3 linked regions of the Saccharomyces cerevisiae S288C genome follow. The protein of the gene in region 3 interacts with the protein of the main gene of each other region in a biochemical or structural test. Each region holds a gene or a part of one and is shown on either strand. Other genes may lie near its edges.

Region 1 (3,513 bases), on a different chromosome or scaffold from region 3:
AATAGAGCCGTTAAAAGTTTGTGTCGTTTCATCTAAATCGTTGTCGTAATACGAGGACCTATGCCTTTTCTTGTTTCCGCGGTTAAGCAATACACTATCGTCAGTTCTTACCCTCAGCCTGTTTGGTGATTCATCTAATAAGCCGTTATCCCGTAATGGCGCCATCATAGAGGGTCGGTTCCCAAAGAGTCTTTCGTTGGCGCTTGTTAGTTTCCCGTTCTCATACATATAATCTAGATTTTCTACTTTTTTTTTATGTCTAGCAGTTGCAGAGCCCCCAAGATCTTGTACTGATCTTAGGTACTGCACAACCTTTTCATTGTTTATCTGAATGGTCTTCAAGCATTCATTGAGGATTAATGACCAAGTATTACCACTACTGCTTCTGAACTTGGAGTGATATATTGGTGCTCGCAATGATGGATCCAGTGAAGTGGCCCTATACGCTAGTTCCTGGTAGGCAGTCAACCTAGTAAATGGCTTGTCTGCAGAAAGCCCACTAAGCAGGGTTTCCATCGGCGTCGACGACAAATTCGAAATTAGCTTGCCCTTGTGCAGACAACCTATGGACATATGTGCGTCAAATGCTATATTTATGAATTCGAAAGTGATGAAGATAATGCAGGAGATTATTAGTAAATTTGTGACAGCTAGCACGCCATTCGTAAATGAATCAAATAATCCCGATTTTTGCCTGGAAAAAAATACTGTGGTAAAGATTGGTAATACGAACATGCTGATTACACTTAGAATGACTGACTTCTCCATAATCCTCTTGACACGCTCTAATACGTAGTCTTGTGGGGCCTGGAAAAAGTTTTCGCAGTTGAACGACAATTTGTCAGCGTCAGTGACATGATGTTGTAGGTTGTAAATCGTGGGAACGACTAGCCAAATAAACAGCTTATAGTATGGCTTCCATCCAGATCCGCCACGTCCGAAAACCACACCCAGTACGAATGATAAAAGGATGCTGCCCATGCTATAGACTCCCTGGTATACAAGAAACTTTACTGATAACAATTGGCCTAGAATGAAAGTAAGTGAATTAGCGAACCCAAAATTCTTTACATGCATGTAATTTTTTCTTGTCACAATGATCAAAAGGGAAACTAGGTTAAGAGCTAAAATATTGGGAATAAATGCCAATGCCAGTTCCCATAACGGTGAGTGTGGCAACGCCAGCAGTGAAATCACCACAGTTTGGATAATAGAACATATGAAAAACAACCTCGTAACTAAATGGTTGAATCGGGTCTTGCACACGTCGCTAAAGATGGTATGGTACGTGTACCGTGGATTCAACAACTCCCTTGGCGTCTGTATCATCTGCTTGCCCTGTAATGTCCTTTCGTCTTCTCAATCACACTTACTCATCGCCAAAGAGTCTGCTCTTCCCGTTAGTGATTCTCGATGTTATTATATTCTTTAGTCTGTTAAGAAAAGACGAAAAATATAGCGGCGGGCGGGTTACGCGACCGGTATCGAATGGCGTTTTTAAGCTATTTTGCCACTGAGAATCAACAAATGCAAACAAGGAGGTTGCCAAGAACTGCTGAAGGTTCTGGTGGCTTTGGTGTGTTGTTGATGAATGAAATTATGGATATGGATGAGAAGAAGCCCGTTTTCGGTAACCATTCCGAGGACATACAGACCAAATTGGACAAGAAATTAGGACCTGAGTATATCTCCAAGAGAGTTGGGTTTGGAACAAGCAGGATTGCATACATCGAAGGTTGGAGAGTAATTAATCTTGCTAATCAAATCTTTGGATATAATGGCTGGTCTACGGAGGTAAAAAGTGTAGTTATCGATTTTTTGGATGAGCGACAGGGAAAGTTTAGCATAGGGTGTACTGCAATTGTTCGTGTTACGTTGACTAGCGGGACTTATAGGGAAGATATTGGGTATGGTACCGTGGAGAACGAAAGACGGAAACCTGCCGCTTTCGAAAGGGCCAAGAAATCTGCCGTTACGGATGCCTTGAAAAGATCTTTGAGAGGGTTTGGTAATGCTCTAGGAAATTGTCTTTACGATAAAGATTTTCTGGCAAAGATCGATAAGGTGAAGTTCGATCCGCCAGATTTTGACGAAAACAATTTGTTTAGGCCAACGGATGAAATCAGCGAAAGCTCAAGAACGAATACTTTGCATGAAAATCAAGAACAACAACAATACCCGAATAAAAGAAGGCAATTGACTAAAGTTACAAATACCAATCCCGACTCGACGAAGAACCTGGTGAAAATAGAAAATACAGTAAGTCGAGGTACCCCAATGATGGCCGCACCTGCTGAGGCTAACAGTAAAAACAGCAGTAATAAAGATACTGATCTCAAATCTCTCGATGCTTCCAAACAGGATCAAGATGACCTTCTCGATGATTCTCTTATGTTTAGCGATGATTTTCAAGACGACGACTTGATAAATATGGGCAACACAAACAGTAATGTTTTAACGACAGAGAAGGATCCCGTTGTAGCTAAGCAAAGCCCAACTGCTAGCTCAAACCCAGAGGCAGAACAAATCACCTTTGTTACAGCTAAGGCTGCAACTTCCGTACAAAATGAACGTTATATTGGTGAAGAGAGCATTTTTGATCCCAAATACCAGGCACAATCCATTAGGCACACCGTTGATCAGACTACGTCCAAGCATATTCCAGCGAGTGTGCTAAAAGACAAAACGATGACCACCGCGAGGGATTCTGTCTATGAAAAATTTGCACCAAAGGGAAAACAATTGAGCATGAAGAACAATGATAAAGAACTGGGGCCTCATATGCTAGAAGGGGCTGGGAATCAAGTACCGCGTGAAACCACACCAATTAAAACGAACGCTACAGCTTTTCCGCCTGCAGCTGCTCCACGGTTTGCGCCGCCTTCTAAGGTAGTACATCCTAATGGAAATGGTGCAGTGCCAGCCGTTCCGCAACAAAGATCGACACGAAGAGAAGTTGGAAGACCAAAGATCAATCCCCTGCATGCACGCAAGCCTACTTGAAACGCTTCCTGGCCGAAACAAATAAAAAATTTGCATCATTATTTATTACTCCAAAATCCTCTAGTTACTCTTTCAATTCTGATTTTATTTGTATTTCTTCCTATATCGTCTAGTTTTTCTTTCCTCCATGTGTCGTATTAATATTTACTTTAAATCGAATAAAAAATTCTTATTATTTTACAAGTCATTTTCAGGATTAGATTCATTATAACTTTACAAAAGTATTACATAAAGAATTATATAACAGATATTAGGATAACCGTATAAATAGAATAAACTATACAAATATGGCAACTCGGAAAAACAATAGATCATTAAGTTTGAGAAGAGAAAACTACGTTTGAGTTTCATTTTGTGGGTTATATTTTGTTTTCAGCGGAATCCTTAGGTTCATTGAGTTCCATCGGACCTATCCATTCCCAACATTTCATTATTTCACCTCGAATTTCAGTTAAGTTCGATTTAATATTACTGTTATTATGCTCTAAATATTTTACCACTTCTGACCAT
Region 2 (5,104 bases), on a different chromosome or scaffold from region 3:
AAGTTCGTTATTGTCTTTAGCGCATATGTGGATGCTATCGATATTCCGGATTTTATAGCAAATGTAACGGCTTGTGAACCTGCTTTGGCAAGAATTTCATCCATTCTCTTCAGATATTGGTGTTAGGTAATAGTTAAAGTTAATCCTTCTGAGAGTGTGAAACTGTATCAGATTTTTATTTCCCTGACAGCGTGAGATTTTCTTGCCATAATCTTTTTTGGCAGTTTCGGCTGGCACTTTACCACGATAAAACTGAAGATAATGAAAAATTTAAAAGCTAGCACAAGTATAATATGACATCGCTCAACTTTTTTTACCCTTAAGTTATACGATTATACTTTTTTGATTGAAATACATAGAGATATTTACCAATTTGGCCCCAATTTTCAATTGTTTATTACGTCTAAATATATATAACCATGCCCATCATTTAAAATAAATATGTAATGACCCCCCGACGATCGAATTCTACTTTTTGTTTTTGTTTTATAAGTACATGTATGTAAGAGATCAATGTGAAATATATTGAAATGCAAAACTGATATCATTGTAATGATGCTCGTTTTTTAGTAGATGATCATTTGTTTTTTCCAATGCGTCATGGTTCAAATGATTCCAAGTTGTCGCATCACCATATAACATTGCAGGGGCTCTCTTTAATTGTTTACCCTGAGCATTACAACGTTTACAATGGTATGTTTCGTGTGTTTCACATATCGTATTCTCATTTTTTTGAAACAACTGTCTTAAATTGTCAGAACTAAACAACCTTTCAACGTCTTCTTTCGCATCGACCACGCATGAACTCAAACTCATTTTCATAGATTGTCTTTGAAAGATTTTTTCCTCTATGGTACCAGTCGATATGAATCTGTAAATGAAACAATCCTTTTTTTGACCGTCTCTCCAAACACGTGCCAAAGCTTGTTGATCAGCAGCAGGATTCCAATCCGGATCCATCAAAATTAATCGATTTGCACCAATCAAATTGATACCACACCCACCTGCTTTAGAACTTAAGAGGAAGATGAACTCTTGGCCTTCAGGATCGTTGAACCTATCCACCAATTTTTGTCTTTTGTTAATTGACATTGTACCATCCAACCGTACAGCACTGTAGTGCTTATATCTACACATTTTTTCAATGAGGTCCAAGGTTTGGGTATAGTTGGAGATCAAAACAATCTTATCATCGGATTCGGTCTTTATCTTATGGAGAAATCTTTCCAAAATGGAAAATTTAGCTGAATATTTTGTTTGTACGTCCCTGGCTTTTGAACCCGGCATATTATAATCGTCAGGTAGTTCCAAATCATCTTCATCGTCAAATTCATCTTCAAAATTCAAGAGATTAGGGTGATTACATAGCTTCTTTAAAATACCAATAGCCCTCAGGGGCTGAGACCCACCAACACCTTTTACTACTTTTTTCACTTCTCTTGACTTAATTAATTTATTGTAGAGCTCGTTCTGCAACGGCTTCAAGTTTACGAAAATAACGTGCTCATACTTGCAAGGCAAATATTTGGCCAAAATATCGTTAGTACGACGGATAATAAATTTGGAGACAATGGTAGATAGCTTCTGTAATTGCGCCTCGCCCTTTGTGATTTCTTTATCAGTAGCATCAGCATCACGCCCTCGCAAAATTGGATTCTCAAAATTTTTCCTAAATTCTGCTCTGGAACCTAATAAGCCAGGATTCGAAAAACTCAGTAGAGCAAAATATTCGGAAAGATCGTTTTGAATGGGTGTACCAGATAATATAACTCTTCTAGGACAACTGATGCTATCCAAAGCTGTGAATGTTAAAGAGTCACCGTTTTTCAAACGGTGCCCTTCATCTGCCAGCATTAAACCCACATTGCAGTTTTTCAATTGATCAACATTTCGACGTAATGTTTCATACGATATGATTAAAACGGGCTTAACAATATTTCTTCCCTGTGCCTGAGCCCAGGCATGAATAGCTTGCGAAACTGTTGTATTACCACCACCCATTGAAGATTTTTTCCCATCAACCGCTAACGGAGTTAGAGTATTGGGACCCAACCATTTTATCAATTCATTAGCCCAGTTGTTGACTAAAGAAGATGGACAAACAATGATACATTTGTCGATAAGTCTTTTACCCTGCGGGCCCTGTCTTAATAATGTCCACATAAGTGCTATACACTGCAATGTCTTACCCAGCCCCATTTCATCGGCCATGATGCAGCCGTAGGCCCCTCTATTGTTTTGTTCAGTCTTTTGAGATTCAGTAAGTGCCTTCTCGTCGCTCTTTAAGGGATCTTCGCTTGAAGTGTTGAACGCCTCAGCTTCTAAGTAATCTTTCATGACAAGCCCTGTGACACAACGGTATAAGAATCTCACCCCTTCGACTTGATGGGGTCTTAAAATCTTGGCCAGTTTTGGATCAATAACCACAGGGACACTAGCAAATTTCTTCTTGTTTTCCGCAGAGTTTTCCGAATCACCGAGTAGCTCACGTAACGGTTTGTTTCTCACACCATTTGTCATCAAAGCTGGATGGCGTCCTATTCTTTGTGTGGGTCTTTCTTCCTGGCTATTCTTTTCCTTGTTAATATTATCCTTTTCCTGTGTGCTTTTGATCATTTTCTTTGATTCTTCTTCCTTGTTATCCATAGATGTGTCATGGACAATCATTTCACCGTCAACGGACGGGTCATAAAGCACTATGGCAAATTCGTCTGTAGGGTCATGTAGAGGTCGAGGTTCTGGAGTAATTTTTTTTTTCATTCCTAACGTTAATGGCAGACTGTGTCTTTGTACATATCCCTTGATTGGCACAGTGAAAGATCTTCTCAAAGTGTACTGGATATGACTCAGTCTTGTCGGATCCTTGGCCAACCTTTGAGCACTAAGAGCATCCTTCCGTCGTTTAGTCAACTGAGAAAAACTTATGTCTTGGCTGTTGTACTCTGCTTCGTCCGCATTTATATCCAAGCCGGAATAACATACAGTCGCTGATCTTTTCCTCAAGCTCCTTCCTCCTACGATATTATCAGACCCGGTGGCGATTCTACCAGCAGCGGGCGGGATGTGCGTGTTCTTGTACGGGACCCTGAACGGTTTCGTTAGTCGGTTCACCGAGTCTTGTACGTTAATAGGCCTAGGTACCAGTCTCGGCCGTTCACCGGCTCCTATTCCATTTGGTGGTCTGTCTGGTAATCTGCGTCTTGCCATCAGTTATAAGGAAATATATATGGTACCTTGAAATAGAGCTAAGTTCTGAGCGTTTGATTTTTCTATACTTTCGTAGCAGCTTTAGTGAAGAAAGAGAAAAGTTGCTGCTCTAGATTTTGTATCGGCTATTACGTCAAGTGAGAAGAGTTTTGGCCTTCGCTTCAGTTAGATCTTCTATTATTTCCTTTTTTTTCTTTTTGTTTGTAATTGTTTTTTATTTTTTTTTTTGCGCGAAACTTTGCTATATTGGGTAACGCGTAAAATACTTTTTATTATTGCAGTAAGGCGGAAGGGTCTTCCCCTTTGCATGTTAAATAGCATACATGGCACCACTCAGGTCCAGAACGTGACACATCTTTGCACCACTTGTGTATTTTCAAGATGTTAAATTTTTGATACATAAGCTTTATCATGCAGGTGCAGTAGACGCATTTGCGTACGCGTTGAGTAGTAATGCAAGAACGCAACAATTTCACGCTTTCTACTTAAGAGGACAGATCTTCGAGCAGAATATTTTTCTCCTAGCGCGGCTTTCAGAATCTTCTTACCATCTGCAGGACATCACATGCAAGCACATGAAGCTGGAACCACGCACCATTAAATGTAAACCTACAGACATAGCTAGCACAGAAATGCTACTTTGGAAACCTCGGTTGCATCGGCTGACCTCGGCTGTTCAGCAACGTGAGCTGGTTGTTGTTATTGTTCATAGAATCCTGTATTTTACCAGTGTAGCTTTGTCCGCCCACCCCACGCTTTTGGCCACTAGTATGTACGTATATGCGTGGGCTCTATATCATTGAAAACGAATTTTCCACGCAAAACCCACTTCACACCATAAAGGCCTTATGACGATGTACATTCTTCCCCTCCCCCCTCCTCCCGAAGGAACCCTTATAGTGATCCTAATACGGTATAACGTAAACCGGAGTTGTCAGCAGAGAGAAGCGAATAATATGTTTTGCGTGGGGTTCCCACGAGCGGCAGGAACCGTAGCGCATTGAAAAATGAATCATCGATCATCTTTGGGTTTCAAGGGTTCGGACTTCGCCAAAGGTCCGAATACTTCCACCAGTATTTCTCTTTTTCCCTTTCCAGTCTCGTTCTTCGCCGAATCCCCGCTTTCCCATCATGATCGTTTCTCTGTTTCTCTCTTTCCGGAACAGGCTCTTTTCTGACCGCCAGTTCGTGCGGTTAGTTCTGTGGATCTTGCAGGCACTTGCCGGTTTAGCCACACTTCTCCGCTGTTTGTGTCGAATTTCCCTCGAGTATGAGAAAGACTGGACCACAAAAGAGGGAAAAAAAATGGGCCGATTTTAAACCATTATAGGTCACAGAAAAACTTTCTTACGACGGTGGTTTTTCAACAATACGTTTCTTGAGCAGGAGAGGAGCTTTGTTCTTTTGCCTTAGTTTTTTTTGTCTTTTTTTGTGAGCCATCCTGCTGTCGTTGCCATACATGACAGATCCACATTTGCCTTGTTGTTTTTAGTTTTTGTTCCTTGCACCATATAAAAGCGTCACTTGTATTTTCCTTACTCATCTAAACTTCAAGCTTTTTCGTCATAGTAGGTTTGTGATCTCGGCAAAGAAAAAAAATTTTTTTGCCGATCTTTCTGGTTATTGTTTCAGGTATCTTTATGAAAGTATTAGTGTACGCACTGGATTTTTGGTAGGTCTATAAAAGTGCAACACATAATCTAAATCATTGAGGTCATCGTATGTCAAAAGAAGATGTCCACAAGCATTACAGTAAGAAATAGAGATCGATCGCTACCACCGCTATTGCTCCCCAATGTTTCCCTGCTAGAAAAAGATATACGGCGTAAAGGCACCCAAAATGTGGGCATCACCGATCCAGAACTCTTGTCGACCACTTGGACGAGGAAGCGGGCTT
Region 3 (3,304 bases):
AAGTAGGATAGTCGTACTAATTGCTGACAAACCCGTCAAAGAATCAAGTTCCCCATCCTAATAAGTATTAAAAGCGCCAATTTTTCAAGAGACTCGCGGCTGGTGAATAACGCTGCTCCTTAGAAAAGGACAGCCAGCGGATAGCTACTCAGATCTTCGACTGACTTTATGCATTTTAGTATTTATATATTCATTCGATCTATTCTGTTTACTTAAAAATTAAAGATGAGTTGGATGTGGAAAATTCTTGACGTTCCGCTGATATTTTGTGTTGGGGTTGTTTTTGGGACCATGAGATTGCCATGAACCGATCAATCTTGTCTCATCTTCAAGTATCTCTTCACCACTTCATCCTTCTTGATGATGTATACTACAGCTCCCCAGCCTGATAGAGCGTCACGGTCAGCAGCATTCAGTAGGGCCTGACTTATAGTTTCGAAAAGATCTTCTGGCTCTAGATTAGGTTCGTACAGGGACTCACACATACCGAACAGTTGGTCGGATGCAGTACCGCTAACGATAAAATCCTTGGCCTCGTCGATACAGCCGATTAGGTCGAATCCCGCAATAAAGGGCTTCCCGGACTTGGAATTAATACCTGCTACCACCGGCCCCACAAAGTATGGACCGAATCTTCTTTCATAAAGTGAACTTGACACTAATTGGGTAAACGTTTCAGGCTCAATGGCCCTTTCTTCCTTCAACTTATATAGGTTCGTCTTGTAGCGGAACATCTCGTTCAGAGTAGTCACGTCGGTAGCCAGACCGGTAATCCCTAAGAACACATGCCCATAGTGGAAGATTTTTTCAAACTTGTTCGACACACCTAGTGACTGGCTTCCGAGACGCAAATCACAGGCAATGGCCACACAGTCTTTACCTGTCATCGCAACGACGATACCACCGTTAATAGAACTTGGATCCGACATTTTTTTTTTATGCTTTATTCACTGTTCAATATTTTCACCACAATTCGCAAGAAACGCACTCTACTTCGAAACTACGGTTCAAACTTACTTAGCAGCTTCCCGATTTAATTGGCCTTTCTACTATGCCATAAACTCTTTCTTCCTCTCTTTTCATCGCCCCTGCATTTGCACTTTTTTGCCACCGGCAGTGCCATCCGGTCACATGACTACACCACGTTAATAGCGATCTGGCTTATCATTGTCACAGAGTAAATTAAAATGGACGGTAAATGTTGGAAATGCACCACTACCGTTCTTCAACCAATCTAGTTTAGCTATCCTGCAACAGGTGGCCTTCTTGAGCATTCCCTGAGCATTCCAACCGGTTGTATCAGTGTTTTATCACCGTCTCACCATATCCCACGACTAGGCCACACTTCGTTACCCTATGCTACGCGTCATTTCCGCTATTTCTGTCCTGGTTTGTTTACAGTACGCGTGGTGGGACCATAAAGGGGAATAGTGGGGACTGGAGAAAAAATTTTCTCAGTTACTTCTTCTATCTTCCGTAGTTTCCATATACTAGTAGTTGAGTGTAGCGACAAAGAGCAGACGTAGTTATTTGTTAAAGGCCTACTAATTTGTTATCGTCATATGTCTCAAGTTCAAGAACAACATATATCAGAGTCACAGCTTCAGTACGGGAACGGTTCGTTGATGTCCACTGTACCAGCAGACCTTTCACAGTCAGTCGTTGATGGAAACGGCAACGGTAGCAGCGAAGATATTGAGGCCACCAACGGCTCCGGCGATGGTGGCGGATTGCAGGAGCAAGCGGAAGCGCAAGGTGAAATGGAGGATGAAGCATACGATGAAGCTGCCTTAGGTTCGTTTGTGCCAATAGAAAAACTGCAAGTGAACGGGATTACTATGGCGGATGTGAAAAAACTAAGGGAGAGTGGGCTTCACACTGCTGAAGCGGTAGCATATGCTCCCAGAAAGGATTTATTGGAAATCAAAGGTATATCGGAAGCTAAGGCAGATAAGTTGCTAAACGAAGCGGCAAGGCTAGTGCCTATGGGATTTGTCACGGCTGCTGATTTTCATATGAGAAGATCGGAGCTGATTTGTTTGACAACGGGTTCTAAGAATTTGGACACTCTTTTGGGTGGTGGTGTGGAAACTGGTTCTATTACTGAGCTTTTCGGTGAATTCAGGACAGGTAAGTCCCAGCTATGTCACACTTTGGCCGTGACATGCCAAATTCCATTGGATATTGGTGGCGGTGAAGGTAAGTGTTTGTATATCGATACCGAAGGTACTTTCAGGCCGGTAAGATTGGTATCCATAGCTCAGCGGTTCGGATTAGACCCGGATGATGCTTTGAACAACGTTGCGTATGCAAGAGCCTATAACGCCGATCATCAGTTAAGACTTCTGGATGCTGCTGCCCAAATGATGAGCGAGTCTCGGTTTTCCTTGATTGTGGTCGATTCTGTTATGGCTCTATACCGTACGGATTTTTCTGGTCGTGGTGAACTAAGCGCAAGGCAAATGCATTTAGCCAAATTTATGCGTGCTTTGCAAAGGCTGGCCGACCAATTTGGTGTTGCAGTCGTCGTTACTAACCAAGTGGTCGCCCAAGTTGATGGTGGTATGGCTTTTAATCCAGATCCAAAGAAGCCTATCGGTGGTAATATTATGGCACATTCTTCCACCACGCGATTAGGTTTCAAAAAGGGTAAGGGATGTCAAAGATTATGCAAAGTTGTTGACTCACCTTGCTTACCAGAGGCTGAATGTGTGTTCGCGATCTATGAAGATGGTGTTGGTGACCCCAGAGAAGAAGACGAGTAGGTATTTGGTCTCTTGTCTCTATTTATTTACACAGGTTTACTTTCAATTCTCCTCTTTTTCTTAGGTTGCGTTCCGTACATTTTTATCTTCATTTCCATCCACTGTCTTAGATTTTTGCATATATTTTGTCATATACCTCGCAACCCTACTGCGGTCTTAACCTTTTTTTTCAGTTCTTTTAAATAACTTTCGTATTGTCTGTCACCCATGAAATATATGTATTTTTCTACTCTTCTTCCCGATGACTACTTCCTCCTGCAGGGTCCGCGCGGCTTTATCCTTTTAGGGGAGTGAAGAGAAAAATTTTCTGATATGTCGCCATCCTCTTATAAAACCAACGTAAAATACCATACACTTCTTTATGGCAATGAATTTCCTTGTCTTCGTTTCGACGTTTTTAAATTGAATAAAAAATTGTACTTGGAAAAAAGAATAGAACAATACTTTTGCTAACAGCAAGAGAAGTACGGTTGACATTACGAGTATCCCTTTGTTAAAATCAGGCAGTACCCATAATGTCCATGACTATTTGCTCAAAT

Evidence for each region.
Region 1: the proteins of RAD51 (region 3) and RAD52 form a complex in vitro, tested with the Saccharomyces cerevisiae proteins (14 studies listed by BioGRID, with this or other methods).
Region 2: the proteins of RAD51 (region 3) and RAD54 form a complex in vitro, tested with the Saccharomyces cerevisiae proteins (13 studies listed by BioGRID, with this or other methods).

The regions. Positions count from the first base shown.
Region 1 is NC_001145.3:212,005-215,517, reverse strand, and holds RAD52 (recombinase RAD52), read left to right. Parts: upstream 1-1,587; coding exon 1,588-3,003; downstream 3,004-3,513. Other genes in the region: NDC1 (Ndc1p), read right to left, coding at 1-1,329; SRC1 (Src1p), read right to left, coding at 3,363-3,513. UniProt on the Saccharomyces cerevisiae protein: Involved in DNA double-strand break (DSB) repair and recombination. Promotes the annealing of complementary single-stranded DNA and by stimulation of the RAD51 recombinase.
Region 2 is NC_001139.9:193,197-198,300, forward strand, and holds RAD54 (DNA-dependent ATPase RAD54), read right to left. Parts: upstream 3,208-5,104; coding exon 511-3,207; downstream 1-510. Other genes in the region: YRB30 (Yrb30p), read right to left, coding at 1-104; SUT1 (Sut1p), read left to right, coding at 4,942-5,104. UniProt on the Saccharomyces cerevisiae protein: Plays an essential role in homologous recombination (HR) which is a major pathway for repairing DNA double-strand breaks (DSBs), single-stranded DNA (ssDNA) gaps, and stalled or collapsed replication forks.
Region 3 is NC_001137.3:348,418-351,721, forward strand, and holds RAD51 (recombinase RAD51), read left to right. Parts: upstream 1-1,562; coding exon 1,563-2,765; downstream 2,766-3,304. Other genes in the region: PUP3 (proteasome core particle subunit beta 3), read right to left, coding at 312-929; SHC1 (Shc1p), read left to right, coding at 3,281-3,304. UniProt on the Saccharomyces cerevisiae protein: Required both for recombination and for the repair of DNA damage caused by X-rays. Its function may be modulated by interaction with other repair proteins. RAD52 interacts directly with RAD51, via its C-terminus.